Lepisosteus oculatus: one gene and its partner. The protein of the gene in region 1 interacts with the protein of each later gene in a biochemical or structural test. Links are inferred from orthologs where the notes say so. Each region holds a gene or a part of one and is shown on either strand. Other genes may lie near its edges.

The links. The genes of interacting proteins can lie anywhere in the genome.
Region 2: the proteins of sodium channel protein type 8 subunit alpha (region 1) and fgf14 form a complex in vitro, tested with the Homo sapiens proteins (2 studies listed by BioGRID). The link is inferred for Lepisosteus oculatus from reciprocal best matches to the Homo sapiens genes SCN8A and FGF14.

The regions. Positions count from the first base shown.
Region 1 is NC_090696.1:20,135,038-20,142,764, reverse strand, and holds the start of sodium channel protein type 8 subunit alpha, read left to right. Parts: upstream 1-4,718; 5' UTR 4,719-5,021; intron 5,022-7,358; exon of another isoform or gene 7,359-7,727. Other genes in the region: transmembrane protease serine 12-like, read right to left, coding at 1,051-1,299, 1,754-1,896, 2,054-2,319, 3,159-3,354, 4,514-4,595. UniProt on the Homo sapiens protein: Pore-forming subunit of a voltage-gated sodium channel complex assuming opened or closed conformations in response to the voltage difference across membranes and through which sodium ions selectively pass along their electrochemical gradient.
Region 2 is NC_090710.1:5,033,131-5,040,911, forward strand, and holds the start of fgf14 (fibroblast growth factor 14), read left to right. Parts: upstream 1-4,775; 5' UTR 4,776-5,422; coding exon 5,423-5,630; intron 5,631-7,781. UniProt on the Homo sapiens protein: Probably involved in nervous system development and function.

The sequences.
Region 1 (7,727 bases):
TAAGCGCAGCTGTTTTCTTCTGTACAGATCGCCCAGTTTATACGCAAGTGGGGGAAACTTTTATTTAATGTGCACCAGGAAAAATAATGTACAATTTTTTTTTAAAGCTCAAAGGGTTGGGAGTCTGGTTTAAGCTACTAAACTAGGGTGACCATATTTTAGTTTTCAAAAAAGGGATGGGGATGGGGGGGGGGGAGAGATAATCGACATTCGAAACATGCCTCCAAAGCAATGAATCTTTATTACTTTTCCCAATCAAAAAATCAATTTAAACTCTCTAGTTTTTTTATTAAACTTCTTAGTAAGCTTTTGAAGAAGTTGCAGGGTTGCTATTTCCCTTCCATAATGGCAAAGATAGCCCTATTTTAAATATATTTTTTTCATTTTAACACAACAAAAGTCTTAACATCTGAGGAAAAAAAGAAGACATCATAACAGGAGAGGTCCTCATTGGTTACAAAAACGATTAATTTTAACAAATCATTTTGAAATATAATTAAAGAAGTTACACATTATTATTTCTCATGGCCATAAAACAGGCGCACACACACAAAAACCCTTTTCATGCTACGCTGCTGACAAGTTCAAAACATCTACCAGTAAAGCATGGAACGAATGAAAATATGTAGCCTATGTTTTTTAACACAGTCTGAGTAACGAGCGAAACAAAATCCCGGACACATTTTTGGAATTTTATAAATCCCAGTCGGACCTATATTTTAGGTCTCAAAAAGAGGACGTCTGGCCACCCTAACAAAGCCATGTTGAAGATCTGAATGCCTCCGTATGGATGAAATTATTAGGTGGTTTCTCATTTGTAACCCGTCTCTTGGTGTGTGTTAATAACACAGAGAAGAGTGAGGGTACGTTTGGGGGCGACAGTGCGATGGCAGTACATTCTGTATACCGGGAGGTTGGAGGTTCGCCATCTAAGGTGGACGGTGAGACAAGTGTGGCAGTTTCGTTTTCACCCCAGAAAGAAGCAGACAAAGGCGGTGAATGCAAACAGGTTTAATTGCCGCGCCGGTCTGGCAGGACGGAGCAGGGAGCTCAGGCTCCCAGCAGGGGCAGGGCTGCGCTCAGCAGCAGGGGAACGGCCAGCAGGGGCAGGGAGAGCCGGCCGCGGGCGGAGGCGCCCCTGGCCTCCACCTCCCGGATCCAGCGGTAGTAGAGGCTGGCGCGGGTGTACACCCCGGGCTTCTTCTCCACCGCGCAGCCCTGGCCGAAGCTGGTGATCCCGAAGAGGTAGAAGCGCTGCAGGGTGCTGTTGAAGCACTGCAGGGGGCCCCCGCTGTCCGCCTGGCGGAACAGACACCCCGCGCCGAGGGAACACAGAAACCAGCCGCAATGTTAACACTTCAGTGTGGTGTGCAGCTGCTGACACAGAGGCTTCTATTAACTGGCAACACTCTCTCATCGCTGGTGGCTTTGTGCTGTGAGGGTGTGCGCACAAACCCACCGCTTCCAAAACCGAAACCTGTGAAGTGCGAGCTCACCTCAGGAAGAAGCTGTTCATGTGAGAGGATAGAGCAGGTCACCCATCGCCAAATTGCTCATCATACGAGTCCTCTGATTTTACACACTACTGGCTTGGGGGAAAAAATCCCCTGTGGCACACGGGTTAGAATCGCTGTCTTGCAGCGCAGGGGACCTGGGTTCAATTCCTGGAGTGCTATCTGCGTGGAGTTTGCATGTTCCCCCCATGTCCGTGTGGGTTTCCTCCCCCAGCACCCGCCACGTTGGGCTAACGTACCTGGCAGGCGTCGATGCCCCCGGTCTCGTGCCCAGCGCACTGCATGTTCTCGGTCAGGCTCTGATTGTACCAGTCCGGCTGGTTGCAGGTCTCTCTGGGGATGAGGTTGACCTCGGCCTCCTGCAGAGTGTCCGCTCTCTCCCCTGCAGAGTGTGAGGAGCAGCAAAGGTCACGTCAGGGATCCCCACAGCCGGCCTTAGTACGAGCCTCCTGGGTTTTCATTCTGGCTGAGGTTTTGATGACTTAATTAGCCTCCTCAGTCGGTGTATCGCGTGCGGCAGGACTGGGAGAGAGACTGACCTCCCCATGACGTGGTCCCCCAGCCGCTGATGAAGCACGGCGTCAGGCCCGCCTCCTCGCTCGCGCCCCTCAGCAGGCACACCGGCTGCACGTAGTCGGTGAAGTTGACAGGGGAGCACAGCTTGAGCAGGGCCACGTCGTTGTCGCCGTTTTTGGTGTTGAACAGGCTGTGGCGGAAGATGTGGGTCACAGTGCGGTTCTGTGTGTTTTCGTCGCTGGTTTTCCACACCTGCAGCCCAGCTATGACCCTCAGCTTCGATGGATCGCTGTGGGAGAGAGAGGGAGCCGAGAGCTTGCAAGAGTTATTCCACCTGGCCAGTCATCTAAGTGTCTGTTTAAACCTGGTGAGGTCGGGCCGCAGTGATACAAGCTTTAGTAGGTTTGTCTTGAAAACGCGGTCCGAGTCGAATTGTGCTAGGATTCACACGACGCTTCAATCCTGTGAATGATTTGATCTTACACACTACTGGTTCGGGGAAAGGGTGTTACTGTGACGGTACTGTGACACCCTTCACATTGGCTAGAATCGCTGCCTCCCAATGCAGGGGACCTGGTTCAATTCCTGGGGTGCTATCTGTAAAGAGTTTGCTTGTTCTCCCCATGCCCATGTGTGTTTCCTCCCAAAGACCCTGAACTTGGCTAAGTCTGGGTGTCTGTGTGTCCCGTGATGGACTGGAGTACTGTGACGTCTTTTTTTAGTCTTTTTCTCTATTCGAGATGTACAGCGCCCTTGGGTTTTTGAAAGACACTTTATAAATAAAAGTTATTATTATTATTATTATTATTATTATTATTATTATTATTATTATTATTATGCAATTAACCCATTGTTGGCCAGGATAGGCCCTGGTTCCCCCATGATCCTGACACTGGACGCATGGTCTTGGTAAAAAGTGTGTTCTTTGAATGGAGCACTCAAGAATTCCTTTGGGATGCATATCAGGCCCTTGCTTCCCTCCAGGTCCTGAGCTGCCCCTCTCTGCTCTCTGTCGGCCACAAGCCCAGGAGGAGTGGAAATTGTGGCTGATCCTACACCCCAGAACCTTTAGAGCCGTTCCAGGTGGGTCCCAGACCTCTAGCACTAATCCCTACGGGCTGTACTCACGTCTTGGGGCCGAAGCAGTGGGCTGACGTGACGACCCACTGCCTGTCAATGATCGATCCCCCGCAGAAGTGAGAGAAGCCGCTGGGCTCGGCGAGCTGGACGCTGACCTGCCACGGCCACGCCCCCGGCGCCGCGTCCTTCCCCCCCACCACGCGGGAGCTCTGCGGGGCCTCCACCAGGGGCCTCAGGCCACACACTTAGAGAGAGCACAAACGGCTGTGAGGTATGTACAGGTATGTGCACAAAGCAGGAATCCCTAATACGTACTGTATATTACTTTACCTATCTCAGGGATTGTATGATATATTAGTATAGCATTTCAATACATATTCATCCATATATTCAATTCCTGGGGTGCTGTCTGTGTGGAGTTTGCATGTTCTATCCATGTTCATGTGGGTTTCCTCTGGGTGCTCCAGTTTCCTCCCACAGTCCAAAGACATGCTGGCAAGTTAACTGGATTCTGGGAAACATTGTCCCTGGTGTTTGTCCTGTGATGGAGTGGCGTGCTGTCCAGGGTTTTGTGTTCAAATTGATTAGGATACAAACATCGGATGTAAACGGTTTTCAAATCTTTTCCTGTATAGTTTGAGTTTGAGTTCATCACTGAAAGAGTGATTTTTTGTTCAGCAGAGCTGTATTAGATAAAAACAAGATAACCCTAACAGAACTTTGGAAGAATAGCACTACGTACATTCAGTAACACTTTACTATGATTCATTCATAAGGAAAGGGGGAGATCTGATGAATATCTGATGAATATACACACTTCACGGGAAACTGTTGAATGACGTCATAGGTAATTACATTAGACAGGGTTTCAAACTCATTTCCTGGAAGCCCTAGTATCTTCTGGGTTGTGTTCCAGCCCAAGCTGTCAATGAAACAATTAACCAAATGAATGTGTTATATACGGAATTTTTTCACGAAGTTTTTTCCGTTGATAGCTCAATACACTTTATCACTGGAAACCCCGGAGATGCCTTTGATTGGCTCTTTGGAGAGTAGATCGCTTTGATTGGCTGAGCAGCAAAAGGCGGGCTTTCACGCCGTGGCCTCGAGCTCTAACACCGGTGTCTTTTCTTAACTCGGGATTCGAAAAACGCGCCGGTTTGATTTACCTCGACGGTGTTCAAAAACAAATACATTTATGAAACGTTTTTAGCACGAAGTTGATCCTTAAGCTCTAAGAGAAAAATCTCTATTTTTTTTTCAAAAAAGAATTAGTGGTAAAATCGGCAATTCATGTGCTTTGAGGTGGGTCAAGTCGCCTCGGAAGGTGGTAGATAACGGTCACCGGGTCCTGAAAAGGGGGTTCGGAAGAAGATCAACTGTCGCGGGGGGGGGAATCTTACTGATATTTTCCTGTGCCCGAGTCCCTGTCGCCAGCAGGCAAACACCAGTGAAGAGAAAGATGAAGAGCCGAGCAGAAGCCATGGTTTTCTGAGCCGACTATCAGGTGAGAGATGCGGTCTCCTCCGATACTGACCCGGGCTCGAAGAACTCAGACTGTTTAACCCCGGGGGTTATGACGCGAGGAGGCGTGTACCCGCGCGACTGGAGGAAAGTTTTGATTTAAAAGCTCTTTTTGGTAAGTAGGGGTCAGCTGAGCTGGGTCAGCTGTCTGTCTGACAGCTCAGTACAGCGCCAAGAGCGGGGCTTCCTCCCAGCTGCGCTTCGCCGTCTCCTTCCCTGTGGGTTTGTGCGCCTGCCGGGTTAGTAATAAAGCACACAGACATGGCAAGGAGCAGCTAGCCTGTAATCCTGACCGGACGTTTTAAGCAGGAGAGAAAGAAAATCGACGTTCCACGAAAAAAGATCAATATAACGTAGGAAAAAACGAATGTGACGTAACCACTCGATGTAAGTCGTACCGCCATCTTGCCTGGAGTGGGGTCAATATAGTAATTATACACTAATAATATAGTGATTTTATTTTTGTGTGCATAAATGAAGTCCCGTCTTTATTACAAAAAAATATTTTTTTGGAAAGATGACACTTCAGGTCAGGTATGATCACAGAAAAAAATACATTCAATTAAAGTTTGCACAAGCAAGTTAATCAGTTTAAAGGCATCATTTATAGCCCTGGTGTTTAAGAGCTGAGCTGGAATTAAAACTGGCAGATTCTTGGGGGTCCCCCAGAACCAGAAACCGTGTGTTAGAACAATGACACTAGTGTTGAGTGCCTTTGGCACCCATTCTTTCAAAGTTTGCAAGTCGCCTAAGCTACGTGTTTAAAAACCAGCCAAATGTGGCATTGCAAGGTGTTTATAGGACCTTATTCTAAAGCCTCTTTGCTCTAGATTTCTGAAATAATTCTCAGAATAATCCCCAGATCAACAGCCTCCTACTAACCCTGTGATATTGCTCACCAATCCCTTCACAACTAGTTCTAATTTAATCATCATCATCATCATTTATCTATTTATCTGCAACAGGTGCAACACAGGGTAAACCCTGGAAAGGACGCCATTCCATTACAGGGCACATAGACACAAGCACACACACTCACACCAGGGTCAGTTTTCGCAGAAGCCAAGTAACCTGCATGTCTTTGGACTGTGAGAGGAAACTGGAGCACCCAGAGGAAATCCACATGAACAAGGGGAGAAGATACAAACTCCACACAGACCACTGAGTGTTGCATTTCTGTATGATATCAAAATAAATTATATTATGAAGCAACAGTGAAGCGGCAGCAGTGAGGAGGGGTGGTTAGGCAGCAGTGTGGAGAGATGGTGAGGCAGCAGTGAGGAGGGGTGGTGAGGCAGCAGTGTGGAGGGGTGGTGAGGCAGTGTGGAGGGATGGTGAGGCAGCAGTGTGGAGGGGTGATGAGGCAGCAGTGTGGGGGGGTGGTGAGGCAGCAGTGTGGAGAGATGGTGAGGCAGCAGTGTGGAGGGATGGTGAGGCGGCAGTGTGGAGAGATGGTGAGGCAGCAGTGTGGAGAGATGGTGAGGCGGCAGTGTGGAGGGGTGGTGAGGCAGCAATGAGGAGGGGTGGTGAGGCGGCAGTGTGGAGGGGTGGTGAGGCAGTGTGGAGGGATGGTGAGACAGCAGTGTGGAGGGGTGGTGAGGCAGTGTGGAGGGGTGGTGAGACAGCAGTGTGGAGGGGTGGTGAGGCGGCAGTGTGGAGGGGTGGTGAGGCGGCAGTGTGGAGGGGTGGTGAGGCAGCAATGAGGAGGGGTGGTGAGGCGGCAGTGTGGAGGGGTGGTGAGGCAGTGTGGAGGGATGGTGAGACAGCAGTGTGGAGGGGTGGTGAGGCAGTGTGGAGGGGTGGTGAGACAGCAGTGTGGAGGGGTGGTGAGGCGGCAGTGTGGAGGGGTGGTGAGGCGGCAGTGTGGAGGGGTGGTGAGGCAGCAATGAGGAGGGGTGGTGAGGCGGCAGTGTGGAGGGGTGGTGAGGCAACAGTGTGGAGGGGTGGTGAGGCAGTGAGGAGGGTGGTGAGGCAACAGTGTGGAGGGGTCGTGAGGCAGTGTGGAAAAATTTATATCAAAATCAACTTTAAAAAAAATCAATTTAAAACTAAAGTCATGCAGTTTTTCCCCCTTTCCCTATGTCAGTGATGTCTGAAGATGGACTTTGCTGTCTATGGGTCCTATAATGCTGTCTGTTGCTCAAAGTAGCAGGATTTGCTGTGGCAGGTTAAGACCAATGCCTTGAACTGAGACAAAGCCTTTCAGTACTGTGGCTTCTTGGGCCCTGGGAGGTTCGGTTCTGATGTTGTCTGGAATTTGAACTTAGGACTCACACCTCCTTACCTCCTTACAGAGCCACCCTCCCCCAGTATTAATTTTTCTTGCTTTCTCTTTTCATTCATTCATAATTCATTTGCTAAGAGGTTTGCAAAGTAGCCTATGCGGGCTGAATGGGAGAGGATGTGCCTCCTCTGCAGAAAGGACAGCGTTTCGCTGGGAATTTAAATGCTGCTAAGCAGCAGTGACCCTTACCCTTTCCTTACCCAAGGTCTGCAGGCTTTTAGAGAAGCACTGATCTAAATATTGGACTCCTTTGTCTTAGATGAGTTAATTCAGTACAAAATCTTAACTACTATTTGTGCAGTTCAGTACATTTTATTATTCACAAGTGAATTAATAACTATATTTCAGCAAATGTTTAATTTTGAAACAATAGTTAAATAAACAGTATTTATTACATATAACAAAGGAATGGAGAAACGTTATTTGCAGATAATAATCAGGTAATAATTCTGCATGCCCACAGTTGTATTCAAGAGTTACAGTTTGCAGATGGCCCAGGCTTCTCAAAGCAGACGGGATACACACTGGTCCACTGCAGTGCCAGTTAAGCTAAACGGCATACGTTCAGATGGTGGTAGGAAACCGGAGCACCCAGACAGAACCCCCATGGCCATAGGGAAAACATGCACATGTAATGTGTGACAGATGCTGTGTACCAAACACAAGAGCACAGCACTGAGGCAGCAGTGCTAACTGCCACATCACACTGCTGCACACAGCTGTACTGTTATTCATTTAAATTGGGCTCAACTCATTGGATTCCTTCTCTAATTCATCTTTCACTTTCAAAGCCTCTATGTTTTTAATGC
Region 2 (7,781 bases), on another chromosome or scaffold:
GCACAAAAAGACATTTTTCTTAATATAACTTACCTCCTAATAACTGCAGGGGTGCATTTTTTATTTCAGAGGCTGATAGCAATAGTACATCAAACTTCTTGGAAGAAAAGAGTTGTGTGATCTAGTCCTGATTGAATAATAAATATCGTTTGTTAATATCATTTATTAATGATCTGAATAGCGGGCAAGGAATTCTTACTGGGCTCTGTCATGACTTACATTTATCTTTTATTGGTATCTCTTAAAGGTGACACAATGATCTATTTAATGCCCTTAAAAATGTTCCGTTCCACTGAACGAATGATAAATGTCAAACCTTCAAAACAAACAGGGCACACATCAATATGCTGCCATATTCCCTAAACAGAAACCTACGGCAGGCAATGCATCCTGGAAAGAGCAAGAACAAGCAACAAGTAAACATTTGAACTAAAAAGTATGATAAACAATACTTGAGGATTAAAAATAATTACATATATACATTATTATTACTTACACCATTAAACAGTATTTTTCTCTTCAGCAGATCTCACCTGAATGAGGAAAGGTTGGATTTGTCTTCTTTTATATATTAGAAATATGAATTGATCTTTCATGTCACATCCAACAATATACAAACTGAAAACAAAAAAAAAAGCTTTCTAAACAGGGGAAATTCAACAAGTATCTGTAAAAACAGTTGGAAAATTTCAACGTAGACTATTTGATAAAAGTGCACATAGACAAACAATTAAGAGATTACCAATGGACAGACTGCTCTCTTCTTTTTCAGCTAACATGAGCAAAAATGTGCCACCTCCAAGTCAAACATATTTGAAAGACCGTAATTAAATAGATTTTTATTTATACCTTATTGATGCAGCAAGGAGGACAGCAAGATGATAGATTGTGAGTTTCTCTACCACTCAATTTATTTTACAAAAACATAACAGACATGCCAGATCAAGATTTCACTTTTTAAATGTTGCACAGATGATATTAGGTCAGTAGTTCGTTGTACATTTGTAACTAATAACTGTCCCCGATAAATAGAAAGAGTGAAATTTAAACTTTTTTTGTGTAAAAAATAATTTTTGTAAGAATAATTCCGTACCAGTGTGCTGTTTGCTCTGCCTCCCCAAATTTCATTTTTTTTAGCATCTGATTGTCACCTTCAAAAGCCTTCAAAAGCACTGATATTCTGTGTGCAGATTTGACCTAAAGGGGGAGGCCTAAGGTCAAATAATGTAACACAGCAAGAAATTTGGATAAAGCTCAGGTTAACTCAAAACTTGAATGAAACACCAATCCCAACATACAGATCTAGTATTTGATGGAAACTTTGCTGGAGGCTTAGTGCTTTTAACATATGGAAGCCTGTCTTCAGGGTGTAGATCTGTGATTTTAGATTGGTTCAAAGTTGTGATTTAATAAATCCAAGCCTATTGTGATAGATCATACCGTTAACCAGAGCAGTAATATTGGTCTGCATGCACAAAGCCTATATAATGGCTAGTGAGATCCATAAGGCTTTATTGCCTTTTCAGGATCACACAAAAAATAAATCTAAAAAAAAAAAACCAGCCACTAAGAACACCATTCATACAATTTAAAGTTAAAATAAAAACATAATTACAAACATTAGAATTTGCAGCAACAACTTTTCCGCTCCAATCTTATCAATTACCTAATTAACACCCACTGTGTAGCCATTTACAAGGAGTGTAAAGAGTTTCCTACTAGTGGCCTCTAGAGGCAGGTCTTTGTAATTGCAGCCACTTCTTAAGATGACATCCACAATGTTTTGGTAAATAGCTTTTCTTGGAAGTTCTAATGACTGAAGGAGCCTTAGTAACATAAAACAATGTACTGTATTTCTCACTTTTCTCACTCAGTTTAGTCTTGACTGATATGCATAGCCCGCTGACTGGTTTGCTGACACCCCTCGCGCAAATCTATTAATATTTCTATAATAAAATAATTATGCCATATTGCAGGCAGAGCTCACTTATCACTATACCTTTGTAGTAAAGGTTACTGTTCGGATATCTGTATGCTGGTTATCTTCTGTTATCAAGCAGATGCAGAAAATAAGCACCAGTAACGTAACAGGCTAGGTCCTGTCAAACATCATTTGCCATATCTTTAAATACAACTGGAAATTGAGTTTGGATGTTGGCAGGCAGGTATGATGAAAATGTCAAAGCGAAGGAGGTTATACTGTCAATGATTCTATTTCAAGATTTAACAAGATTTCTTTGATTTCATTACCCTGCCCCACCCCTTCATACAGGGAAAAAAAGGTCAGTTCCATTGTTGTTTTTGTCCCATATGTTCACAGATAATTTGAAAGGAGGGATATGGCCTATATTCCAGGAATTGAAGGATTCTGTACTTCATTCTAACCCCCTGGGCGAAGGAGTAATTACACAGCAGCAATTAAATAAGGTCCTTCTTGACTCGTGATGGAAAATGATAATGGGGCCTAGAACATCATCAACATCAACAGAGTAGCCATGAGCGACAGTGACTAAAGCAACAGTCTTAAGGGAGGTTGATGTGCAAAACACAGATGCACTCATTACCTTAAATCAGAGAGCAAGAGCGGGTGAATTTATTTTGACTTTTGTAGACTCACACCATAGAATCACACTTCTGTTTCCCCTGCTCCATCTTCAGCCCCATCTACTGCATTTTTGTCTGGAAATCTTGAATTTGACCCATTTTTCTCTAGAATTTGTTTCTTTCCACTAGCGTTACCTGTCCATACAGCCCTTCAGAAGCCATCAATTTGTCGTGGGTGTATCAAAAAAGGGTAAAAAGGTGACATCCCAGATTTTTTTACATGAAAACACATTTTCTGATGTTTTCTGTGTCAACATCAATATATTATCTACAACACAGCATTTACTTTTTTTTTCATCCAAGTGCTTCTTGGATGGGTTTTGATGCCTCAACTCTGGACAGGTGATTTCGTCAACTAACGGAAAAGTGCACTTCTCTTCCCTTGCTATTGACATGTCTGGATTAATCACCTTCCAGCCATATTGGGTCACCACTACAGCACATCTGTGTGTGTTTAAAAAAAACAACAACTGCAGATGTTGTGATTCTGATACCACAAAAGTGAACTAAATGGGTCATAAAAACATGGAACTCCCAGGCTGTCTCAGGACAAATTGTTTAAGGTCTCTTCTGCTTTTTAGAAGACTTGGTCATTAGCATTCATTTGTTATGGACCTTGTATAACACTGATCAAAATGTTTGATTTTTAGGCATGAAATGCCATGTGTTTAATTTCTGTAACTTCCAACACACAGTTTAGGCCATTTTTATCTTTCGGCTTTGGATTTTTTCTTTGAGTTTAGTTTATTTTTAGCAAGATACAGGGAAAAATAAGCATATGCATTTCATTTCTCTTTAGCTGCATACATAAAATTAGTTATAGATACATCTGACTAGAAATTTATGGATTTAATAAACCTTCTCAAACAAGTCATTTCACTTCACTACTGTATTTTCTGGATCTTATTAAATAAGAGCATGATTAAATAAATTAATTTAAGCCACATATTAAGAGTAACATAACTGGCAAATTAAAATCACAATAAAGGGAAATGTTTTGTTATAAGTCCTTGTATATTTTTCTGAAATTCACAAACAGTAAAAAATACGCACATACAGTATGTGAGTACATGATTTGCTTTTTCACTATTTTAAAAATAATTGTTTTTCACCAAACCACCAAATCTGAATTTTCTATGATTGAAGGACGTTTTTTGCCGCATACGTCTAAGACTCTTGACATCTATGTTAGTACTGTTTCTGTGCAAAATTTAGAAGCACTTAAAGATTTCCTCCAAAATCTAGTGTGTATACCCTAGATATAACACAGTACCTAAAAACGCAGAAAGACGTCAATTGTTGTTTTTTCCCAGTACGTTTCCGCCGCATTTATTTTAAGATATATTGAAAATTATTAAGAATAAATAAATAATGATCAAAATCAAAACCATTGTCTGCTGATTAAATGCCCAGTCTAGTTTCGGATCCCCATCCTATAATAACTTTAACTTAAGGCTGAAGTGCACTATTTTGGCAACATCTTCACAAAATATGTCCTGTGATATAAACTGCAGGGGAAATTCTTTCCTAATCTACGCACACCTGTTTACGTTAGTGAATCATGCCAGGTTCCCCGACTGGTATTTTTTTTTTTAAGATGTGGTTATTTTTTTAAGACAGTGTAAGAGTGACCGTCTGATTTAACAGTTTCAATACAACTTTCAACCCTAACCTAAACAGATGTGTTTTCATTTATAATCACACTGATTAGTTTATTACCTTCTTTAAACGCGGAACTGATATACACTTGTTGATCTGTAAATACGAGCCTACAGCATAACAAAATTACATTACGCTCATAAGACCCTATCATAACAGCTTAATTTTACCGGTTTTTATGCAGATTTGGCTTTGAATGCCTCAGTTGTATACTGTACAGTACGTCACCACGAGAAAAGATTATACATTTTATTATTTTGATGTTATGGGAGGATGTTGTCCATCTTCATAAATATAGCTGAATCGCGTCCTTTTTAAAATGATGGTTGTGATTAATTTTTATAACGTAAAAAAAAATCCCCACGCTGAACACTCTCACTCATTGATCAGATTTGTGAAACAATCTTTTGTGTTTCTCCCTTGAAATCCTGAAAACGTCTCATTTGTGACGGTGTTCAAACCACGTGTTTACGTAATGGAAAGCCAATCTTTCAATTCAACCCCTCCTCCTCCCCATCTATTTTCTAACACAGATCCAAGCTGAACAGAAATACTTGAAAATATTTTCCGGAACCACGATACTTTTAGGGGAAAGAAAGACATGCCCGCTGCGAATTGGTAACATCTTACCCTCAGAATATTGCAGTTTATTTTTTCACGGGGAAAAAAAATCCGGGTTCGGATCGAGAAATGCCTTTTTAAAGAATGCAGCGACAGATTAACGGGAATTGATCTCGGCAATCAGCAGGTTTAAAGGAGAACATAAAGTGAACTGACTTGATTTGGTTATGTGTTGTTTTGTTGGAGCTATCGTTGCGGTCTTTCTATAGGATACATCCTGCCTTTGCCTTTTGAAGCACATCCACCCTTCCTCAGAGTGATGAACTAATAGGCAATGGTTTTCTCTTTGGAAATCCTTCGTTTTTTACTGTTTGCCGATTAGTTCTGTTTGTTTACTGGCTGCTCTTTACATTTTGTGCGACATATGAAATATACAGAGTATTTTTTATTACTGACTTCCTGGTGTGTGCATTTTGGGGACCATTATTCACACATAGTCGGAAAAAAATAACCTTCGTTTAAGAAGTGTAAGAATATATATATATATTGCCACGTGAACAAAAGCAGCGGAAGACTGGAATATAAACATCTTTTTTCTATGGTAAAATTGGTAGCCCTGTCCTGGAGAACTGATCCCATTGTATTATTATGCAACCGCAAGGATCTCTTCTTTATCAGGGTGTCTAAGCTGCTGGATTGCTTTTCGCCCAAATCAATGTGGTTTCTTTGGAACATTTTCAGCAAAGGAACGCATATGCTGCAGTGTCTTTGTGGCAAGAGTCTTAAGAAAAACAAAAGCCAAAGTGGTAAGTCGTGGTGTTGCTGTTTGTTTTCTAGTGCCCGCACTGTGTTATACATTGTTTATAGTGATGGTGTTATATCTGCAATCATATTTGTACAGCAGGTAAATGCAGCGAAAAGGGGGAATAAGTTATACTGTAGTCCTGCTGGTGCTGGCGAGCCAAGCAAGGCTGAGCGTTAAGCACCAACAGAAAAGCCCTGCATCACTAAAGCAGGATGATCGTAGCGCTTCGAACTTTTTTTGATAGGTGCTCTGTCGTATCTTGGTAAATCACTTTAATGTAGACATTTGTAGGATACTGGTGTGCGCTGTGCAGTGTGTTTGTAATGCGGGTCTGGTTTGACAGGTTTTATTCTTCCTGTGCTGCAGCAGCATTTTCTTCTGCATCACTTTTCGGTTTTTAATATTCGGTGTCTCTTGTCAAGCTGACTGGAAAATTAAGCCCGCAAGATAGCTTTTTAAATGCACAACATTTGCGTGGAGGACGGAGATAATACGACGAGGCGCCTAGCTTTGAATTCATCATCCACTATTGTCCTCTTTTTCTGCATTTTCTTTTGGTTATTCTGTTGATACAGTACAGAGCATGACTGTCTTTGTGTTAGAAACGATAGAGGCTTTTCCTCATATACAGACAACCTGATTCCATAGTCCATATGATCTGCAGTTCATTTAAATAACTAGAAATGATGTTAGTTGCTTCATCCCCGCTGCTGAAGCGAGCGATTCGTTTTTAGAGCAACTGTACTGTACAGTATACTGTATGCAGTTCCAAGATGTGGAGAGATGGGATGCGTAAAATAGATTAATTTTCATTCAGATTTTGCTTTAAAAATAAAATTTTGTATGGGGCTGTATCATGTTTCTCTAGAAACAGGTTATCGCGAATGACGTGGTATCTGTTTATAAAGAAGCATTGGTTATTATAGCTGGTGCAAGACACGGGCAGAGTGTCTTAAAGTTGATGTGGTTGACAGTCATTGGGGTAAAAAAGCTCTGCTTCTTTGACGCTGGCACTGCAGTGTAGTAGATCATAGCTATTTTGCCTTGCTGACACCCCACGATTAACGAGGGAAACCGTTGCATTTGCCGCCCACTCAATAACTTAGATTTTGCAGTTGAAATAAAAGAGAAAGTACAAAAAGGTCGCATTCCTGAATTGAAAGAGAGATTGTTGAAGGAAAGCGGCGTCGGTTATCGAAGGATTTCAGTAGGACCTCCCCTCCAAAGAAATGTGCTGCAGCAAAACACCAACTTCCAGAATCGAAGTAGCACTCGGGGGACATTGTTGTCAATTGCATATATTTTTAACAGACATTGAAAGCTGAGGTAGCGGTGGCACGGTAACGCTCTGTACACTGTTACATATTATTAGGCGAAGTTCACACAAATGCAGTTGTATTCTCTTTTTTTAAATTATCCACTGCGGTTTTAGGTATTTGCGCTATGGATCCGGGTACCTTCATATGGTGAACATCCTGTTTACGGAGATCCATATGCAATACTGTTTATAACACATTTAAAAATATATATACTGTATATCACTATTAAGTGACACAATACAGTTGTAGTTACTGCCCAAAGATTTGTTTTGAAAACAAAGGATATTCAATGGTTAGGCGCTGTACTTTATTATCGGTATCAATAGAATCAACTGTTGCAAAAATGGGTGCAATTTAATGAAACGTTTCCTTTTTGACATCAGATCAAGTTCGATACCAACAAAGTTGTAAAAAACACGTAATTTTATTGTAGTCGGCTGTGTCAAACGTCTGGTACGGAGAAAATGTTAATTTGTTTTTTCTGATAAAACTTTTTTTGTAATCATGAACCTATAAAGCCTACAGTGCCTATTGAGGTTACCTGTTGTGTTTATTTAAAGACAATATAAACACGCGAGTGTAGTGGTGCACCGGCCTTTTTGTTGTACATGTGAAAATTATTTGTAGCAGGAATGAATTTGAACACTACATCGTGTGAAGGTGATGCGACCTTAACGTCATTTATATTAAATACATTTTAGCAAAACACATTTTGTTCATGTAACTTCTGGAAGAGTTTGGAAAGTACCAGTAAGCATTTTTTTTTATTTCTTTGGCTGGTTAGCCCAGCAGATGGCGGTTTCAGATAGTCAACAAAGGGCTAACACTTGCCT